Linked DNA regions of Macaca fascicularis. The protein of the gene in region 1 purifies or fractionates together with the protein of each later gene. This does not show direct contact. Links are inferred from orthologs where the notes say so. Each region holds a gene or a part of one and is shown on either strand. Other genes may lie near its edges. The genes, in order: POLR3G, POLR3B and POLR2E.

Evidence for each region.
Region 2: the proteins of POLR3G (region 1) and POLR3B fractionate together in Homo sapiens (co-fractionation; 4 studies listed by BioGRID and IntAct, with this or other methods). This does not show direct contact. The link is inferred for Macaca fascicularis from reciprocal best matches to the Homo sapiens genes POLR3G and POLR3B.
Region 3: the proteins of POLR3G (region 1) and POLR2E purify together in Homo sapiens (affinity purification with mass spectrometry; 3 studies listed by BioGRID and IntAct, counting the BioPlex papers as one, with this or other methods). This does not show direct contact. The link is inferred for Macaca fascicularis from reciprocal best matches to the Homo sapiens genes POLR3G and POLR2E.

Annotation. Positions count from the first base shown.
Region 1 is NC_088380.1:94,474,213-94,481,269, reverse strand, and holds the start of POLR3G (DNA-directed RNA polymerase III subunit RPC7), read right to left. Parts: upstream 3,941-7,057; 5' UTR 3,813-3,940; intron 3,465-3,812; coding exon of another isoform or gene 3,011-3,464; exon of another isoform or gene 2,915-3,010; intron 2,808-2,914; exon of another isoform or gene 2,284-2,807; intron 1,792-2,283; exon of another isoform or gene 1,742-1,791; intron 1-1,741. Other genes in the region: acyl-coenzyme A thioesterase MBLAC2, read left to right, coding at 3,011-3,464. UniProt on the Homo sapiens protein: DNA-dependent RNA polymerase catalyzes the transcription of DNA into RNA using the four ribonucleoside triphosphates as substrates.
Region 2 is NC_088385.1:113,276,386-113,283,340, reverse strand, and holds the start of POLR3B (DNA-directed RNA polymerase III subunit RPC2), read right to left. Parts: upstream 4,000-6,955; 5' UTR 3,925-3,999; coding exon 3,853-3,924; intron 3,697-3,852; exon of another isoform or gene 3,585-3,696; intron 1-3,584. UniProt on the Homo sapiens protein: Catalytic core component of RNA polymerase III (Pol III), a DNA-dependent RNA polymerase which synthesizes small non-coding RNAs using the four ribonucleoside triphosphates as substrates.
Region 3 is NC_088393.1:1,664,995-1,672,065, forward strand, and holds the start of POLR2E (DNA-directed RNA polymerases I, II, and III subunit RPABC1), read right to left. Parts: upstream 3,750-7,071; 5' UTR 3,705-3,749; coding exon 3,648-3,704; intron 2,460-3,647; coding exon 2,285-2,459; intron 279-2,284; coding exon 163-278; intron 1-162. UniProt on the Homo sapiens protein: DNA-dependent RNA polymerase catalyzes the transcription of DNA into RNA using the four ribonucleoside triphosphates as substrates.

The DNA.
Region 1 (7,057 bases):
TTTGGAGTCTTTCTGCCTCTCACTACATGCACCCCACGCTGTGGCCAAATCAACCAGTGCATGCCTGGAGTGCCCTTCCTGCCACATCCACCTAAGCCCCAGGTTCTTTTCAGATGCCATGCAAATAACACTTTCTCCATGACAATTTCTTCCACCCTACATGGAGATAGGCCTCTCCCTTCTCTGTTTCCCAAGTACTACTCTGCTTTTAAGCCCTTTTTACAATCATGTTGTAACTGTCAGCTCTTATCTGTCTCCCAGGGAGGCTCTTCAATCCAATCAAGTATTTATTAAGCACCCTCATCATCAGGCTGTCTTCTATGAATTGGGAATACAGTAGTGAGCAAAACAAAATCTCTCCTCTCATGAAGCTCAGAGTCTGAGGTAAGAAACTGACAAAATATATTTTATAGGAAAGTCAGGAAGTGACAAGAAGAAAAATAAAGACAGGAAACATGGATGCTATTGTGGAAAAGGTGGCTGAAGAAGTCTTCTCTTATTCAGTGATATCTGAGCATAAGCCTGACAAAAGTAAAGCAAAGAGCCATGCAAAGAATTAAAAAAGGATATCCAGTGAGATGTGGGATGCAGGCAGAGGGACCTGGAAGTGTGAAAGTCTCCTTGGAAACTTATTCTCCTTTTTATGTCCCCATTACTAACCAAAGCCCGGCAAAAGGCCAATGATTATTGTGCAAATTATTGCTGAGCTCATGGCCTGGTAGAGATATCACTCCATTTCACCACTAGTGGCTCACTTCTGCCTAGAGAAAAAGTACCCAGACTACTGAGGGCCCTATATTACTCTGCTGAGAATGCCCTAAAAGTAGTCTTTTAAGGCCAGCTCAAAAGCCACTCCTCAAGAATCCCTTCCATCTGTATTCTTATTGAATCTAGTTTTTACTGTCTCTGTGGTACATACCCTGTAATGCTTTATCTTCCAAGTAATTGTGTACAGACATTATCTTCCTTCAAACTCCTGAGAATCCAGATTATGACCTTTTTACACAATTCTCTCATGAATTATCTAGCTCAGCGACTTGTGCATAAGGATAGCCCCCAACTGAGTAACCGAATAATCTCTACCAAGATTAGCAAAGTATTTAGAAAAGCTGCATGCCCACCAAAGACTTCAGGAGGGTAGCAAAAGAGCGTATACCTCTCCTTCCATGAAGGCTTATTAGTAGTTGTCACAGTAACGGTTTTCATAATTCTTTTGTAATGCTGTCTCATGAGTCTCCTTATCATTTTTCCTGGCTAAGTTGGGAGGTTAGTCAAGTTCTCAAGGGAATTTCTTAAGCCTAAATAGATGTTTCTGGCCGGGTACAGTGGCTCACGCCTGTAATCCCAGCACTTTGGGAGGCCGAGGCAGGCGGATCACTTGAGGTCAGGAGTTCAAGACCAGCCTGGTCAACATAGTGAAACCCCATTTCTACTAAAAATACAAAATTAGCCGGGTGCGGTGGCGGGCGCCTGTAATCTCAGCTCCTTGGGAGGCTGAGGCAGGAGAATCGCTTGAACCCAGGAGGCGGAGGTTGCAGTGAGACGAGATTGCGCCACTGCACTCCAGCCTGGGCAATAGAGACTCTGTCTCAAAAAAACAAAAAACAAAAAAAAAACCTAAATAGATGCTTCAATAGCTGGGAAGTGGGGAGTGGAGACAGTGACCTGATGTTAACAGAGCGGATGATTTAAGAGGCTGGCGGGGCCACACCCAGTCATTATTCACTTTTCCCGTCCTTACCAGGTGCTCCTTTTCTCTATTTGAGCCTTTCTACCAACTCGCGTTTCTCTCTTCCAAGGACAGACCAAATCAAAAAAAAAAAAAAAAGAGGGTGGATACAGAATTTTATTTTTTAGAAGAAAAGACAAACCATATTAACAACTTCCTTCCCTACGATATAAAATGCCAACAGTTACGAAAACAGATACTGAACAGTCGGTCCTTAGCTGCAATCTGCGGCAATGACTAGTGCCTCAACAAATCATAAAGTCACTGGATTTGGAAAATAACCTACTATCAGTAAGAGCATAAATACCCTTCTAACTCACTGCAAACAGTCCCAGGAGTGGAGACTGGGTAAGATCTGGAAATTCGACTTAAAAAAATTCTGAAGGGAGCAGGACAAGGAGGGGAGGTACCAAGCTATCTCCAAACACCCCTCAACCCAGAGGCGCTTTAATGAATCTCTACCCCCGACTTCCCCCACAACTTCTCCACATGCCCCTTTAACTCCCCTCTACCCTCACCACCCCTCCCAAGTCTTCGATTGCTTCCTCGGTTACCTGTTCCCTAAGTCTCGAAGCTTGGGCAAAACTCTGCAGCCGAAGCGCCGGCCGGCAAGTAAGGGGTGCTGGCAGAGAACACCGGCGCTCGAGTGCCGTTCGTTCCACCTCAGGAGAAACTCGCACCGCCCTCCACGCGGCCCCAGGACCGCGGCGTGAGCCCTACCAACTAGCCCCGCCCACTCCCTAGGCAGGCCCCACCCCCTCGGCAAAGAGCTTTTTTGCCCTTGGCAGGCTCCGTAGGCTCCGTACAACCTGCTAGGCCCCACACTTTCCGCGCCAGCTAGGAGTGCGCGCTGTGGGGAGCCAGTGGGTGGGCGGTCCTAGCGCTTCCCACCCTTGCTCCGGGCCTCTGCTGTCACACGCCCGGGGTGGCGAAAGGGTCACCACCTGAGTCTCCATTCTGCTGCAGTGGTCCCTGCGTTACAGCTCCCTCGTGGTGCGCCTGCCGAGGCTGCTGTAGCTCCTGCGCCCCCGTGCTGGTGGCGCAGTCTCTGCTTGCTGCCGACCTGGCGGGAGGGTACGAGAGCGCACGCTACTGGCAGCGTCGGTCTGCGTCCTTCCTCCTCCTATTCTGACTCCCGCATCCCCCGCCCCCGCCTCACTCAACGCCTCCTCCCTGGCTGCAGGCAGACGGCTCCACACAGCCGCAGCGCCCGGTGTTTACACAGCCTGTGGGAGACTCGCACGCCCACACTCACCCCGCCTGGCTGCATCCCTGCCCAGCATGTCGGCGCTCGAGTGGTACGCCCACAAGTCTCTAGGCGATGGTATTTTCTGGATTCAAGAACGCTTCTACGAGTCGGGCAACCGTGCCAACATCTGGCTGGTGCGCGGCTCCGAGCAGGACGTGGTGATCGATACAGGCCTGGGGCTGCGCAGCCTCCCTGAGTACCTGTACTCTTCCGGCCTCTTGCAGGACCGCGGGGCCAAAGAGGACGCGGCGCGCCGGCCGCTGCTTGCCGTGGCCACCCACGTGCACTTCGACCACTCCGGCGGCCTCTACCAGTTCGACCGGGTGGCCGTGCACCACGCCGAGGCCGAGGCGCTGGCTCGCGGGGACAACTTTGAGACCGTGACCTGGCTCTCCGATAGCGAGGTGGTGCGGGCGCCCAGCCCCGGCTGGAGGGCCAGACAGTTCCGGGTACAGGCGGTGCAGCCCACCCTCATCCTGCAGGATGGTAATGGGCCCCCGCGGGCGCGCGCTCTCGTTAAGGGAGGGTATTGGGAAGAGACTGTCCGAGTGCCGCATGTTGCAGACTTGCGTGGCCATAAAGGGGATTATTTTGGCACCTCGCGGAACCACTTCTGTTACACCCTTCCCTAAGTAAAAACCTACTTGACCAGAGCCAAAGCCATCACAGCCTTCCCTGCCAGAGGCCAGCTCTGGCACCGTATAGCAATTCTGAGTACTTCTTTGAAAGCCGGCACTACCCCTCCCTAGCCAGTTTCCTGAGTCGGCTGTAGTAGTAACACTACAGAGACTTGTGACTGACTAGGGATTTCTTATTCTTTCCCTAAGCACCTACCCGACATTTCCAGGAGCTTTCGTAGTGAGTAGACTTTTAAGGAATGACGCCCCACGGGGAGTGCATGTCATGATCTGTGCTTTTGAGAACTGCAGACTTCATCAGCTTGGTCACCACCGGGTATGGGCAGTTCCCACCTGTAGCCTTAGAAAGTCATCAGAGCAGCGATTCCAATCCGCTAATGCGATTGGAAACCTCTCAGATAGGTTTCTGTTCTTGATGTTGACTCACGATTGCAAAAGCTTAATAGTAATCATAAACGTAGAATAACTTTATGACAGGTATCTGGTCCGGCTGAAAGCAAAGCCTGAGAAAGATCAATAAGGAAGTAATTTTCGGTAGAGGTAAATTATGTGGACTAATGCATAGGTAGCCATGGTCCTCTTTGGCTCTGTGAAAGACAAATATGGAATTCAGAGAGAAATCCATGGGATGAAAATAAATAGATTAGGGCCTCAGCCCATTTCCCTACGCAAGGACTTAAATAATTGAGCTAATTTGCCACATCAGCAATATTTGGTATATTAGTTTTCTATTTTCTTTTTAGTATACTTTTGATTTCATTTTATCCTCACAACACATTTAAAGTGAGGCCACTGACCTCCCAGTTAAATGGCTTGCCTGAGACAGATCATGATAAAAGCTAGGATATGAATCTAGGCACAATAGATCAAGGCATGCAGAACGTACATAAATCCTACCTCATAAATATATGATGATAATTCTGAGTAGAATGTGAAAGGCCCCTTCTTTCCTTTAGTGTGAGACTATTTTAATTACCAATTTGGTTTATTAAAACATGCCTCTATATAGTAGAAAAAGCCAGTTGCTGCAGTATAGTGAAGCTCACTTTATGACCAAACAATATGGCAAATAATGAAATATTTTACAAAAATCAGTTTATCTCACAGATGACATCTTACTCATTTGAGATATTTTAAAAATTGCAGTATTATATTGTATTACTTATCGGTGCTAAAAAAAAAAAAATTGCAAGATTCTGTACCTCAACCCCACCCAACAAAAGTCTTCATTAAAGTTTTAAATCTAAAATTAAAAAAAAAAAAAAAACTGGTTTAGATGGGAGTCTTACATTATCTGACAATATGAGATGAAAGTACATGTACATTAAATTTTAATTTACATTAAAGTCACACCTAATTACTGTATTTCTTGACAAAAATGGGTACTTTTAGGGGTAAGATTTCCATGCAGTTGATGGGTATTCAGACTAAATTCTGACACCCGGACCAAAAATGTTTACATTAGTATTAAAATATACTTAAATTATTGAAAAGAATAAATTACTTTTGAAATTGACTTTTGATTCTGTATCAGCAATGGGAAATCAAAGGTGAAAGAATGATAGGGATTGTTTTATAGATGAAGAAAGAACCCATGTAGGCCTGAGTATCATGCAAGAGGTCACATCACCCATCTCGGAAAGAGCTGGGACTAGAACCCAGGTTTACCAGTTGATGGTAGAATCCTAACATTTTGGGAGCTGAAAGGGGCCTGCAAACTACTTGTGTGGTACTTTAAGCCTTTAAAAGGGTGAAAAGAAAGCTTAATGTTTACCAGACACTTTGAAGGTGATAGTACTGTGTTATCAAAAGTTGTTTTTCATGAGGAGCTGGATGCCCCACCCTCTCAAGCAGTGTCTACTTTCCTCTCTTCTCAAGAATATTAATTTCCCATATCTTCTGAATGATGTGGCCTGCTAACTTGCTGTTAACATAATCCAGATGCCTGGGAGGATACATAAAATATTTGTATTAAAAATTTGTATACAGTTACACACATGAACAGCATAAAGTATTCATTGCTTTGGTAGAATGCAAGGAGCTGAAATCATTTATTACATTTCCTTTAATGAATTGATGATTGCTTGTCATGGAGAAGCAAAAATCTGTGCACTGTATCTCTAACCCAAAAGCCAACTTGTAAATGAGGGACAAGGAGAGAATAGCCATATAATCCAGTGCATTATCTGGATGAAAAAGCAACTCGCCTTATTAATAGTGAAATGGTTATCTTCCTCTAAGATAGCAGTAGACCCTAAATTGACATAGCACATACCTCTTGAGTGGGCAAACATCATTTTGCCCATTTTTCACTAAAGTGATACAAAGTTCTGGCATTGTGATCCCTATTACATACATGTTTAAACCATATGCCCAGTGTCACCAAGATATCTCAGAGGCGTGATTTCAGGCGGACTTAAGTCATTTGCAGAGGCTAAAACAGGTTGTAGGAAGGTGGTGAATTGAACAGACACATCTAATTTGGCTCTCTTCCGAAGCACCATTAATGTACTGTAAAGAAACCGTGATTTAAATGTAAATCCCCATTGGCTGGGGGAACTGTTTCGGATGCTAGAAAGTAGATGTGGTGACTAAGTTAACAGTTTTATACTATGCCAGCAAAGGGAAATTAAGAGCCAATTCAGTTTCCACCGCAGAAGCCTTAAAAAACACAGGAATTAGCAATAGGCAGTACCTCAGTGGCGGCAAAGGGAAGAAGAGTAAGTAGAATTTCCTGAAAACCTTTTAAGAAGCTCTTAAAACTCTAGTGAATGCCCCTCCCGCTCCCATCCAATTAGTTTATTCTCTAGGGATAGTAAAACAAAGGAGTTTCTTGATTGAAGGATGCCAAATTACTATTGAGCTTAAGGGCTCAGTATGGAAAACAGGAGAAAGAAAGAGTGTGTTTGTGTGTGTGTGTGTCCGTCCTACTAGTTTCCCAGAAGGATGAGAGCCAGGCCTTTCCCCACCCAGGTAGGAAATTAGAAAAATGTTATCTAGGGAATCTGCCTCCTAGAGGAAAGACGAAGATACCAATGTAGAGGAATACCTAAGAAATCCTGGCCTCTTTCTCTACTGTGAAGCCTCAGTCACCAGGCCCCATGCATGTGCTGCAAGCAGCCTTCTTGTCCCCCCTTCTTTTTTTAAATTGATACCTAATAGTTGTAATTACTTGTGAGGTACGTGTGATATTTTGATAAATGCATACAATGTAATGATCAAATCAGGTTATTTAGAATATCCACCACCCTTCAAACGTTTATGATTTCTTTGTGTCAGAAACATTCCAAATCTTCTAGCTATTTTTAAACATACAATAAATCCTTATTAATTCTAGTCTATCAAACGCTGGAACTTATTTATTTTATCTAATTGTATTTTTGTACCCATTAACCAATCTCTTCATTCCCTTCCCCCACCCTTTCCAGCCTCTGGTAACCA
Region 2 (6,955 bases), on another chromosome or scaffold:
AAACGTTGGTGTTCTTCAAAGTTCTATCCCTGGCGATGTCTTTTCTCATTCTCAAGTAGGGTTGGGAATGGAGGATTTCAAACAACACTGTTTGAAAGTGTTGTTTCGCTTCCCCCATCTCATCCCACAGCCCCCCATTTCCAAATGTGGGCTCTTTCAAAGGCAGTGACCCTGTCTATCCTGTTTACCACAGTGCCTGGCACATATAAGACTCCAATAAATACTGAATGAATAAATAAATGAGTGAGTGAATATCACTGCTGCAGTAAGCTACTGGGTATGGGCCTGTCGCCTCCAACTATTGACTGCGCAGTGATACCTTACATCCTCAGAGGCTACTTAAACTCAGTACATCCAAAATTAAATCTTCCCCCAGCTCCATTCCCAATCTCAGTGAATATCACCATTTATCCTAGTCAATCCCAAATTAGATACCCGGTAGTCCTAACTTTCTGACTTCTCTTAATCGACAGGAAAACAAAAATTCTACTGAGTTGACCTCCTTGTAACCTTCCTCGCATTTATCCTCTGCTCCTGTGCCAGTTGAGGCCCTCGTAATCTTTCACCTGGACTGCGGCAATACTTCCTTTCTAATCTTTCTGCTCATCCCTTTCAATGCTAACACACTAAAGCCAGTGTGCATGTCCTCATGTGCACAGCTGAGCACCTCATTCTCTACACCTCTTCAGTGCCTCCCCACCCTCTTCACCATGTCTCGAGCCCACAGTGAGGCATACATCACACGCTGTGCTTGCAGCTGTACTTGTGCCCACGCCTCCTCCTTCTATCTGGAATGCTTCCCCACCACCACACTTCATCCACATCTGGCAAACTCAGTTCAGGCATCACATCCCAGCTACATTTGTAATACCAATACACCCCTCGCCTACTTGTATCACAGTACCTATTGCATGTTATTCCACCTGCTTACATGTCTCTCTCTATAAGCCTATAACACACTGGGAGGCAGAAGACACATTTTTTGAACTTATATAAACCCTGTGAATAATACACCACCAGGTAAGTACTCAGTAATACTGATAAATATTTATTCAACAAATAACTGATTAATTGGCTCCAAAGCTTGTGTTATTTCTACCATACTACCATGCTGCTGTACTACCATAAGCACAAAAAAATACACACCAGGCATGGCCAGTTCAAGTAAAACTGAGCTCTTATCTAGAAAAAGTTTTAGAGAAAACACTGAAGTTGGAAAGTTTAAGTAAATATTTTAATATCTCAATTTAAAAGGAAATGGCAGCAAGTAGTAGAGATCTACCATCTTCTAGGAGACTCAGGAAAGGCCTTCCTAGGGAAGTTGTATCATAGATATGTGGGATTTAATCTACAAATAGGAATGGGAGAGTGATCCAGAAGGAATTGTACGAGCAGAGTAGAAAGATCTCAAGGGAGGGAGAGGGGAGAATCATGGGAAAAGACGCTAGAGAAGTAACTACTGGTCAGACTGAGGAAATTTATTACAAACATGGTAAACACTAGATTTTGCCCTAAAAGCAACAGAGATTGAAGAATTTTAACCAAGGGAGCAACATAACCATGTTTGTGTGTTTAGATGGACAGCTCTGGCTGCAGAGCAAGGAACAGACTGGATTGGGACAAGTCAGGTGCCAGGTAGGAGAGTTAGGACGTAAGAGAGGAGAGTGGTTCTGGGCTGGAAAACAGTGGGAATGAAGTTTCAGATAAGCATAGATTAAGAACTCAAGACTTTTTAGAGGTGATGGTGGACTGGATCCAGAGAGCAGGAAGAGGAACTGTTATTCTTGAATCAGAAGGCTGGAATTATAGCACTGATCACTTCATAGCTGTGTAAATTCACACAATACATAGAACTCTCCCAGGCTTATTTTTTCAGCTCTCTGGAGAAGCAATCCGATCAGCAGTTAGGGATGAAGACTAGAGTCAGACTGACAAGAGTCAGATTAGCCACTTACCAGCCTTCTAATGCAAGGCTATTTACTTCACATCTCTGGGCCTCTCTGGCAAAATGGGGGTGAAAATAGCACTTATTTCAGAGGATTAAATAACATAACGCATGTTATGGTTAAACAGAGCCTGGTACATTAGCAAGTGCTCAGGGAATGCTGGCTCCTTGATATTTACTTTTCATGGTTAAAATACAGTTTTGCAGCGGGGCGCGGTGGCTCACGCCTGTAATCCCAGCACTTTGGGAGGCCGAGGTAGCGGATCACGAGGTTAGGAGTTCGAGACCAGCCTGGCTAACACAGTGAAACCCCTTCTCTACTAAAAATACAAAAATTAGCTGGGGATGATGGCGGGCATCTGTAATCCCAGCTACTCGGGAGGCTGAGGCAGGAGAATGGCGTGAACCTGGGAGGCGGAGCTTGCAGTGAGCTGAGATCGCGCCACAGCACTCCAGCTTGGGTGACAGAGCGAGACTCCACCTCAAAAAAAAAAAAAAACACACACACACACACAGTTTTACCTGATGAAGATCAGCAGCCTATTGCATGCACTCATAGACTGAATCTGACGAACTGCTAATCCAATTTCCTTAACTTGTCAAATTATTATAAAGAGGTTTTGTTTTCTTTTCCTCAAGACAAGGTCTCATTCAGTCACCCAGGCTGGAGTGCAGTAGCACAATCACAGCTCACTGCTGCCTCGACCTTCCAGGCTCAAGTGATCCTCCCACCTCGGCCTCCTGAGTTGCCGGGACAACAAGTGCACAGCACCACACACGGCTAATTCTTGTATTTTTTGCAGAGATAGCGTTTTGCCATGTCGCCCACGCTGGTCTCAAACTCTTGAGCCCAAGTGATCCGCTCGCCTTGGCCTCCCAAACTGCTGGTATTACCGGAGTGAGTCATCACGCCTAGCCAAGGAGGTTCCTATAATCCGACAGATTTACTCATTATATCACTTTCCTGCTTAAACCCTTCAAAAGCTCTGCTCCAAGACAAAGTCCAAGCTCTGTCAGATGTTTATTGAAACTTTTCATAATCAAGACCCTTACTTAACCCTGTCTTTTATCTCTCCTCCTCTATTTTTCTTCACTCGAATACTACTGGATTTACTTTCCTTCCTCAAAAACATCCAATGGTCTTGCCGAGGAGGTTTCAAGTATCTTATTCTCTCTCCCTGAAATCTCTCCTTTGCTATCGTCTCCGGCCACGTCTCCACTTCCCTATTCCACGTCAGTGTAGATTTTGAGGCTCAGAGAGGTTATGATATGTGCCTTATCAGATAACAAAACATGTCGACAGCCATACTTCATTGGGCAGCTCGCTGTGAGACAGCTGTCCTTAACTTCTGAGAATCTGATGAAAGCTATGGACTCTCTCCCTGAGAAAACACACAGGCAAATTCTTTAGTAAATATTCAGGGCGTTTAAAATTCCCCTGCAACCCAAACTTGAACTTCAGGTTAAAAGGCAAGATGACTAGCTTGGAATTCAGACGATCTGGTTTTACCCCCACAGCCAGCTGCGGTGCTTCATGCAAGCAGCCTGAGCTCCCTGGCCCCCAGTGTCCTTTGTAAGACTGCAAACATGCAATACGTCCCCCACAGTAAGTGCGAGGGCCAGTCCTCCCCACGCACACCTATGCCGGAAGAGCTCCAACCCGAGAGCCAGCCGCGGGGCTTCTCGACCCCTGCAGCGGCTGACAGCTCCTCTGGGCTCAGCCTTCACTCGCGCACGCGGATGCCGGCTCTGGAAAAAGACTGGCACGCGCGACGCTCTGAGCATGCGCAGATGCCCGGCGCATGCGCACAAACCTCCAGCCCGCCCCTTAGCGGCCCGGCACTCCCGGCAACGCCCCCTCAGGGCGCATCCAGGCCCCTGACGCTCCATGAGTGCCTGGCACTCACCTCTACAGTCGGGATCGGCGCAGCCAGCTGCTCCGGAGTCAGGTTCCCAAACTCCTCCGCTAGCACGTCCATGCTGCTCACGAAGGAGGAAGAAGCAGATAGAACCTCCGCGCCCGCCTTCCCTGCACCAAGCGAACTGCAAGACTCCCGGAGAACGGTGCGCGGAGGCCTAAACTGTCCCCGCCGTGTTAGCTAGAGACGCGGTAGAAAGGTTCCGCCTGCTCCCTGCCCGAATCTGCGGTGGAACCCGGATGTGGCCGAGGCCGAGTAGGGAAACTGCGCCTCCTGGTGTAGCTCAGAGGTCTGGCGCGGGGAATCCTAAGCCCCAGCTGTCAGGTTTCTTGCCAATTCTCTGATAATTGAGACCAGGAAAACATAGTGGTTGTCATTTTAAAAGTAATCCGAAGAAAAGTGTAAACGCATAATTTACCCAACTTGAACCACTGAGGCAGAGAATTGTTTAATGTAGTCCAAAATTATATGCGTTGTTTAGTATGGAAGAGCAGGAAACGTCCCAAATGCCTACTAATAGGAGATAAATTAAATAAATGATGGTACATGCGTGTGATGGAAGAGTGTTCAAAATTCTCAAAAGCACTGATGGAAGATGTAGGAGTAAAGACCAGTGTATGGAGAAATTTAGTATGAAAAGATGACATTTACGTTAGTAGGGGAAGGATGGCCTGTCCAGTAAATAATGTTTGAAGAGCTGATTACCCATTTGGGGAAAACACATGTAAGTGAAACCTTTGTGGATTAAATATTGAAATGTTAACAAAAACTTAGAAGAAAATGTAAGTGCAGATATTCATAACGTTGAGATGATGAAAGTTTTCAAGATAGCAACACTCAAGTCATAAAGGATTTCATAGTATAATTCTAAACACGATTTTATGATTCCACGGAAAATTTTTAATTTTCTGAACAGAATTTTTAAAATCGCCAATGAATAGAATTAATAAAAAAATAAATTGGCAGAAGACAAAGGGCTGGTCTCTCTAGTTTACAATGAGCTCATACAAATCAATGGAAAGAAAAATCCTATTAGAAAAAACAAGGCAAAGTGCACCAATTAATTAATGGGTACGGAGTTTCGATTTGGGAAGATGCAAAAATTCTGTAAATGGATAGAGGTGATGGTTGCAGAACAATGTGAACGTATTTAATGCTGCTGACCTGTACATCATTTTAAAGGGTTAAAATGCTACGTTTTATGTATATTTTAGAACAATAAGAAAAACTATGAAAATTTGTAAGTACATGTATGCTTTCCAATTTCTCCCTCATAAAGGTAGAACCCTTGCACCAGGTTAATTCTTCTTATTTCCTAAAGAGCTACTTAAATTTCAGTACTTGTATTTTCTACGTGTTGCACTGACATCTGAAATTTGAGAAGAATGGGAAAAAGACCAAAAGTAGAATCAGCCCTGCCTTTGAAGTTCTTACAATTTACTTATTATGGAGACAAGATACAACTTGTGTCTCATCCTTGTGCATTACCAGATTGCAACCGATTTAGCATCTAGCCTGGAAGGGACTGCGAAAGTGATTTATAGATGGCAGAGGATCTCAAGGTTGGCTCAAGTGTGTTGGTTGTCTATGCCAAAGTCTTCTTTGCTTTCCATTATCAAGGTGGTTCTCCAACTTTAGGGTGTATTAGAATCACCTGGAGAGCTTGTTAAACCATTCTCAGCTTTCTGATTGGTAAACTGGGGCTGAAAGTTTGCTTTTTTTTTTTTTGAGATGGAGTCTTACTCTGTCATCCAGGCTGGAGTGCGGTGGCATGACCTTGGCTTACTGCACCTTCCCAGATTCAAGCGATTCTCCTGCCTCAGCCTCCCGAGTAGCAGGGATTACAGGCACGTGCCACCATACCTAGGAAATTTTTTTTTTTTTTTTTTTTTTTTTTTTTTTTTTTTTTAGAGACGGTGTTTTGCTGTATTGGCCAGGCTGGTCTCAAACTCCTGACCTCAGGTGATCCGCCTGCCTCGGCGTCCCAAAGTGCTGGGATTATAGGCATGAGCTAGCGTGGTCTTGGCTCACTGCAACCTCAGCCTCCGAGGTTCAAGCGATTCTCCTGCCTTAGTAGCTGGGACTACAGGCATGTGCCACCACACCCAGCTAAACTTTTATTTTTAGTAGAGACGGGGTTTCACCATGTTGGCCAGGCTAGTCTTGAACTCCTGACCTCAGGTGATTCACCTGCCTTGGCCTCCCAAAGTGCTAGGATTACAGGCATGAGCCACCACACCCGGACTGCAAATTTGCATTTTTAGTAAGTTCCCTGCTGCTGCCTTCTAGTGATTATGCATTGGAAATCACTAACCTAAGACTTATCACTCAATGCCATATCCTCTTTTTATGTGTCTAATTATCCAGACTGAGCTCTTGGTACAGGAACTATCTTGTTTGTCTTTGTATTTCCAACTTCTAACCCATCAGTTGTTCCTGAATATATTTGTGTAGAGTAAGTGAGTTGAAAGAAAAAATTGCAACGGGTGAAGTTTGATATTATACTCACTTTTTAAGAATCCGGATTGCTTCTAGTTTCTCTTCAAAAGCAGGAAGCTCCTGTAGCCATGGTCCCAAAGTCCTATATGGCAACAATTGGCTAATGCTGAATGGTGTTGGCCCTTAGACCATAGCTGCCACAGTCCCTTACAGTCCTTCCCCCAGGTCAAATCTATAACTTCTTCCTGATACCCTGAGGAACTGGAGTTTTGAAACCAAGAAGCCAGGAACAGTCTCATGATTTCTTTGTTTTCTGCTGCCATGTCATTTTCCTGAGGTATTAGTACAAAAAGACCAGTGGTTTGAATAGAGGGGTGAGAAATTAGGGAAAAGAGATCACAAGGCCGGGCTCAGTGGCTCACGCCTGTAATCCCAGCACTTTGGGAGCCCGAAGCAGTGGATCACGAGGTCAGGAGTTTGAAACCAGCCTGGCCAACATGGTGAAACCCTGTCTCTACTAAAACTACAAAAATTAGCCCGAGGTGCTGGCACGCACCTGTAATCCCAGCTACTCGGGAGGCTGAGGCAGGAGAATTGCTTGAACCTGGGAGGCAGAGGTTGCAGTGAGCTGAGATCGTGCCATTGCACTCCA
Region 3 (7,071 bases), on another chromosome or scaffold:
GGGTGGGAGGGAGGCGGTCAGGGCTTGTCAGACATCCGGGCCACATCCTCCAGGGCACCCTGACGGGCCTGGCCCCAGGCACGTGAGCCGCCTGTGGGCGCTGCTCGGGGAAGGAGGCTGGGGAGGGCGAGAGGCTGGAAGGGCGGGGTGGGGGGTGCCCACCTGCTTGGCGGAGGGCGTCATGCCCTGCTGCACCACGATGAGGGCACGCGTGATGTTCTCTTCCTGCATGCGCTGGCAGTACACCTTGATGGTCTTGATGCCCACCTTGGGCTCCTCTGCAGACAGAAAATGTGCTGGCCTGCACCACCCTGGGCCCTCCCGGCCTTCGCCCACCCAGACCACAGAGCACCTGGGTTCCAGCCCCATTCCACACAGGCGCTTCTCCTGCTCAGACCTCAGCTTCCACGTTTGCAAAACGAGACCTGAGTTGCAGGATCCCAGGACAGGGGAAGAAAGGGCTGAAACCTCATTCACCTAGAGACAAGGACGGGGGCCTGACACCCCTCAGTCACCCAGAGACCAGTGAGAGGCAGAGACCTTCAACTCTGAGAGGCTCCCACCCCGGGCAGTCCTGGGGAGGGGGGGTGACTCAGCACCCACCTGTCCAACAAGCACATCTCACACCCCAGGATGCTCTCTTTAAGAAGCATCACCTGAGGCCGGGTGCAGTGGCTCACACCTGTAACCCTAGCACTTTGGGAGGCTGAGGCAGGTGGATTGCTTGAGGTCAGGAGTTCGAAACCAGCCTGGCCAACATCGTGAAATCCCATCTCTATTAACAGTACAAAAAATTGGCCAGGCACGGTGGCTCACACCTGCAATCCCAGCACTTTGGGAGGCTGAGGCAGGCGGATCACAATGTAAGGAGATCGAGACCATCCTGGCTAACACGGTGAAACCCCGTTTCTACTAAAAATACAAAAAATTAGCTGGGCGTGGTGGCGGGCACCTGTAGTCCCAGCTACTCTGGAGACTAAGGCAGGAGAATGGTGTGAACCCGGGAGAAGGAGCGTGCAGTGAGCCAAGATTGTGCCATTGCACTCTAACCTGGGCGACAGAGCGAGACTCCGTCTCAAAAAACCAAATAAACAAATAAATAAACACTACTAAAAAAAGTAAAAGTAGCCAGGTGAGATGGTGTATGCCTGTAAACCTAGCTTTTTGTGGGAGGCTGAGGTGGGAGGATTGCTTCAACCCAGGAGGTGGAGGTTGCAGTGAGCCGAGATTGCGCCACTGCACTCCAGCCTGGGCGACAGAGAGAGAGACTCAGCCTCAAAAAAAAAAGAACAAGAAGAAGACCGGGCGCGGTGGCTCACGCCTGTAATCCCAGCACTTTGGGAGGCCGAGGCAGGCAGATCACCTGAAGTCAGGAGTTTGAAAGCAGCCTGGCCAACATGGTGAAACCCCCTCTCTACCAAAAATACAAAAAAAAAAAAAAAAAAGCCAGGTATGGTGGTGGGTGCCTGCAGTCTCAGCTACTCAGGAAGCTGAGGCAGGAGAATTTTGAACTCAGGAGGTGGAGGCTGCAGCGAGCCGAAATGGCACCACTGCACTTCAGCCTGGGTGACAGAATGAGACTTTCAAAAAAAAAAAAAGCAGTAGCATCACCCGCTTGGCAGACACGCTCCGTCCACCCCACTGATTAATTCTGGGCACGCGGCTGTGTCCCTAGGCGCTGGTAGTCCCCCAACCACTGAGGGCGCTAGAGCCATCCTGGGGGGGCAGACAGGTGGGGAGACTTCCACGGTGCAGGTGCTGAAACCGAGGGTCCCAGGGGTCCCGGGAAAAGCGGCCTGAGCACAACCTCGAGGGATGAGTAGCGGACGCTGACAGGGCAGAGGCGGCATGGGGTGCAGAGGAATGGGCTGGGGCAGACAGGGGCCACAGCTCACAAGGAGGCTGCGCTGACCCACACGGGGCCTCCTGGGCCAGGCCAAGAAGTTGGAAGTGCACCCAACGGCCAGGATGAGGGAGCCAAGGAACACAGGTAGGGCAAAGGTCATGAGGGGCTGCGGGTGAGTAGGGAGGTCCATGGGACTCTCCTGGTTGGCAGGAAGAAAGGGGACCGATGAGAGGGAAACCAGAAAGAGGCTGCGCATGAGAGGGGTCAGAGGTCCACGGCATCGCCCACAGCAAGGAAGAGGAGGGGAAGTTTTCCTCCCAGATTGGGCAGAGGATCAAACGCTGGGCACGAGGCGGGAGGGAGGGGGTGCTAGCGGCCGGCTCCTCAGCAGGTGCTCGGGCGGCTCCACCAGAACTCCCCCGGGGACCCGCTGCTCACCTGGAAAGAACACAAACATCTGGTCGGTGGGGTCATCGTTGTGGGCCACCAGCACGGTGAGGTCAGTGCGCCGCGGCCGCCCCTCACTCGGCTTGTCTCCAAATTGGGCTTTGAACTCCTCCAGTGTCTGGTCAAGCTCGTCCTGGGTCACTAGGTAGCCACGGTCGTGGCACAGCTGCAGAGAGAAAGAACCAGCTGACCCCAGGGCAGAGACAGGAAGGCGGCCAGAGCTCGTGACCCAGAAGTCAGACCTGCGGCTGCTGCAGAGGACAGAGGTGAACAGCAAACGGAATGAACACTCGCTGTGTGCCCCATGACAGCCATCCTGGCCCCCACAGCCCCACACCACAGGATGGGACCAGCGTGATCCCGAGAGGCTCGCAGAGGTGTCCAGCCTTGACCAAGACCGTCCGTCTATCCAGCCTCACAGGAACCTGGCAGGGGGCAAAGCCCTCCAAACCACTTTGCAGAGCTACCCTAAAGACAGGGACAAAGACGGGGCGTGGGGGGTCACGTCCGCGACCCCAGAGCTCAGGGAGGCCGAGGCAGGAGGGCTGCTTGAGGCCAGGAGTTCAAGGATGCAGTGAGCTATGACTGCACCACTGCGCTGCAGCCTGGGCGACAGAGTGAGAGCTTGTCTCTTAAAAAAAAAAAAAAAAAAGACAGGGACCGAAACAGATGTGACTTCAGGCTGACAATGTTTGCGGCCCGGAGGAAGGAGAATCAGGCTGCGGGGGGCTGCGCTAAAGACAAGGGCATAGGGTGGGGAAGCAAGACAAAACAAAAGCTCCCAAACGGCCCCAACGGCTGAGGGAGGACCCTGAACCGCAGGCCCTCAGACATTTGCCCAGTTTCCAAACCGGAGTCGGCCCAGTGGCCTCCATCTGTCTCAGACCCCGAGGCACGGGTTCCGGGCTCCACGTCCCCATCGAAAGCCCCAGCTCGCCTGCTGCTTCCCAACCACCAACTCCGCCAGCCTCGGATGCTGAGACGCCCTGGGGTTCAGGGCGCAAGGACAAATGGCGACGCTGAATCACAGAGTGGGGCAGGGTCTGGGGGCGCCCCCCGTCCCCATTCGCACCTTCCTCCTCTCGCCGCCATGTGCGCCGCACCAGCCCAAGCCGCCCGCCCACCGCTAAGCCCCGCACCCAGACGTCTCGAAACCCCCTCCCTTCCCCGCTGCCGGCTCAGGTCGGGCCCAGCGCCTGGGATCCCCGGCGGCCTCGGGGTCTCCCGTGTCGGCCGGGCCCTCCGTCGCTGCTGCTGCTGCGACGGGAGTACGAGGAGACGCCGAGCTCGACCTCCCCTCGGGCCCCTGCACCTGCTGCTCGCGCCCCCGCCCCCAACACCACGCGCGGCTCACCTGCATGATGGTCTTGCGGATTTTCCAGAGCCGGTACGTCTCCTCCTCGTCGTCCATCGCCGCCACTCGCACCCGTTTTGCCTGCGAGAACCCGCGCGGACTGCGCCTGCGCCGACTCCCAATCAGGCCCCCTCCACGTAACCCCGCCCCGCGATGGGCTGTCGTCGGCGAACGCCTGAATGCAGCAACTTCCGGGATCGGCAGCGCCAAGGGCAGCCCGAGCCTTGCGAGAACGGCAGTTTGCTGCGCGAGACTCTCCCTCCGTAGTTCTCGTGTGTCTTTGGCTGCACGGCCTCTTGGGAGTTGTAGTTTCCGTTCAACTCCCACGTTGCGGGGACAGTTTAGAATCCCATAAGGCGGGGGCGAAGTGTGGGCGGGGAAACTGAGGCCTGGAATGGGTAAAGGGGCAGCTCGGCTCCTAGGGACGGTCGGGGAGCCTAGTGGGAACTCTATACATATTTGTGCATCAAACTGTACAGGGTTTCCTCTGTTGGCTCCAGGCCAGGTCAGGGTTAATGCCCTTGGGCCTCAGTTTCCCTACCTGTGCAATGGCAAAAAGTGTCCCTACTTTAGGCGGTTAACTGAGAGTCTTAGGTAGAGCTAGGCATATCTCTAGGTGCTTTTTAAGTCCCTTCACCTCTGTCCTCTCCCCTGAGTGCCAGCCTAGCCTGGGTATCTCCCCACCCCAGATCCGTCCTGTCTTTGCAAACCTCACCTCCCCAGATTCACGGAGGATCCCAGCCCAGCACTCGCTGTGTGAAGGCAATCAGTCACTGACTCAGTGACGCATTCATTAATTCAGCATTTACTCAGCAACCTACAGTGATGGTGAATAAAAACAGGCCAGGTATCCCTTGCATTCAGAGACAGGATTTAGTAAAATAACGTTACTGGGCGCAGTGGCTCATGCCTGTAATCCGAGCACTTTGGGAGGCTGAGGTGGGCAGATCACGAGATCAGGAGATCGAGACCATCCTGGCTAACACGGTGAAACCCCATCTCTACTAAAAATACAAAAAATTAGCTGGGCCAGGTGCCCGTAGTCTCAGCTACTCGGGAGGCTGACGCAGGAGAATCTCGTGAACCTGGAAGGGGGAGGTTGCAGTGAGCCGAGATCGCGCCACTGCATTCCAGCCTGGGCCACAGAGTGAGACTCTGTCTCAATAAATAAATAAATAAATAAATAAATAAATAAATAAATAGGACAGGCGCAGTGGCTCATGCCTGTAATCCCAGCACTTTGGGAGGCCAAGGTGGGTGGATCATGAGGTCAGGAGTTCGAGACCAGCCTGGCCAAGATGGTGAAACCCTGTCTCTACTAAAAACTACAAAAATTGGCCAGGCGCGGTGGCTCAAGCCTGTAATCCCAGCACTTTGGGAGGCCGAGATGGGCGGATCATGAGGTCAGGAGATCAAGACCATCCTGGCTAACACAGTGAAACCCCATCTCTACTAAAAAATACAAAAAGCTAGCCGGGCGAGGTGGCGGGCGCCTGTAGTCCCAGCTACTCAGGAGGCTGAGGCAGGAGAATGGCATGAACCCGGGAGGCGGAGCTTGCAATGAGCTGAGATCTGGCCACTGCACTCCAGCCTGGGCGACAGAGCGAGACTCCGTACCCCCCAAAAAAAACTACAAAAATTAGCTGGGTGCGGTGGTGAGCACCTGTAATCCCAGCTACTCGGGAGGCTGAGGCAGGAGAATCGCTTGCACCCGGGCAGGCAGAGTCTGCAGTAAGCCAAGATCATATCACTGCACTCTAACCTGGGCAACAGGGCAAAACTCTTTCTCAAAAAATATATATATAATAATAAATAAATAAATAACAACGTTAGAAAGTGACAAAGCTAAGGAATAAGAGCAGAGAGGCTAAGTGACATGGGGAGAAGGAGAGACCTGTAGTATCAAATGGGGAGGTCACGGAATACAGTGAGGACAGATTCAAGCAAAAGTCCCATTAGATGTAGTGGCTCATGCCTGTAATCCCAGCACTTTGGGTGGCTGAGGTGAGCAGATCATGAGGTCAGGAGTTCGAGACCAGCTTGGCCAACATGGTGAAACCTCGTCTCTACTAAAAATACAAAAATTAGCCAGGTTTGGCAGTGGTCACCTGTAGTCCCGGCTAATCAGGAGGCTGAGGCAGGAGAATCGCTTGAACCCAGGAGGCGGAGGTTGCAGTGAGCTGAGATCACACCACTGCACTCCAGCCTGGGTGACAGAGCAAGTCTCCATCTAGAAAAAAAAAAAAAAAAAAAAAAATCCCATTGGGCACAGTGGCTCACACCTGTAATCCCAGCACTTTGGGAGGCTGAGTGGGAAGGATCCCTTTGTTGTAGTTTTCCAGTTTTTTTTTTGTTGTTTTTTTTTTTTTTTTTTGAGACGGAGTCTCGCTCTGTCGCCCAGGCTGGAGTGCAGTGGCCGGATCTCAGCTCACTACAAGCTACGCCCCCTGGGTTCACGCCATTCTCCTGCCTCAGCCTCCTGAGTAGCTGGGACTACAGGCGCCCGCCACCTCGCCCGGCTAGTTTTTTGTATTTTTAGTAGAACAGGGTTTCACCGTGTTAGCCAGGATGGTCTCGATCTCCTGACCTCGTGATCCGCCCATCTCGGCCTCCCAAAGTGCTGGGATTACAGGCTTGAGCCACCGCGCCCGGCCGGTTTGTGCAAACTTTCTTATCTAACTACCTAACTTTTCTTTCTCACCTTGAGGCCAGGAGTTTGAGACGAGCCTGGGCAACATAGGAAGACCCCATTTCTTTTTTAGTTGTTTTTTTTTTTGAGATCGAGTCTCGCTCTGTCACCCAGGTTGGAGTACAGTGGTATAATCTCGGCTCACTGCAGCCTCTGCCTCCTGGGTTTAAATGATTCTCCTGCGTTGGCCTCCCGAGTAGCTGGAATTACAGGCGTGAGCCACCACACCTGGCTAATTTTTTTGTATTTTTAGTAGAGATGGGGTTTCACCGTGTTAGCCAGGCTGGTCTCGAACTCCTGACCTCAGATGATCTGTTTGCCTCGGCCTCCCAAAGTGCTGGGATTAACAGACATGAGCCACCACACCTGGCCAGGAAGACCTTATTTCTACAAAAAAATGTAAAAATTAGCCGGGCATGGTGGGTGCACCTGTAGTCTCAGTTACTCGGGAGGCTGAGGTGGGAAGATCTAGGATCACCAGAGCCCAGCGGTCGAGGTTGCATTGAGCTGTGATTGTGCCACTGCACTCCGGTCTGGGTCACAGAGACGCTGTCTCCAAACAAACAAACAAACAGAAAACAAAAACCAGAGGAGGAGAGGGAGGAAACCTGGGGGTGCCTGGGGATAGCTGTATCAGGCACACAGCACAGCCAGGTCAGAGGCCCTGAGGCTGCGCCTCGCCTGGAGTGTTCCTGGCAGGGAAGGGGCAGGAGAGGAGGTCAGAGGGCAAGGTGG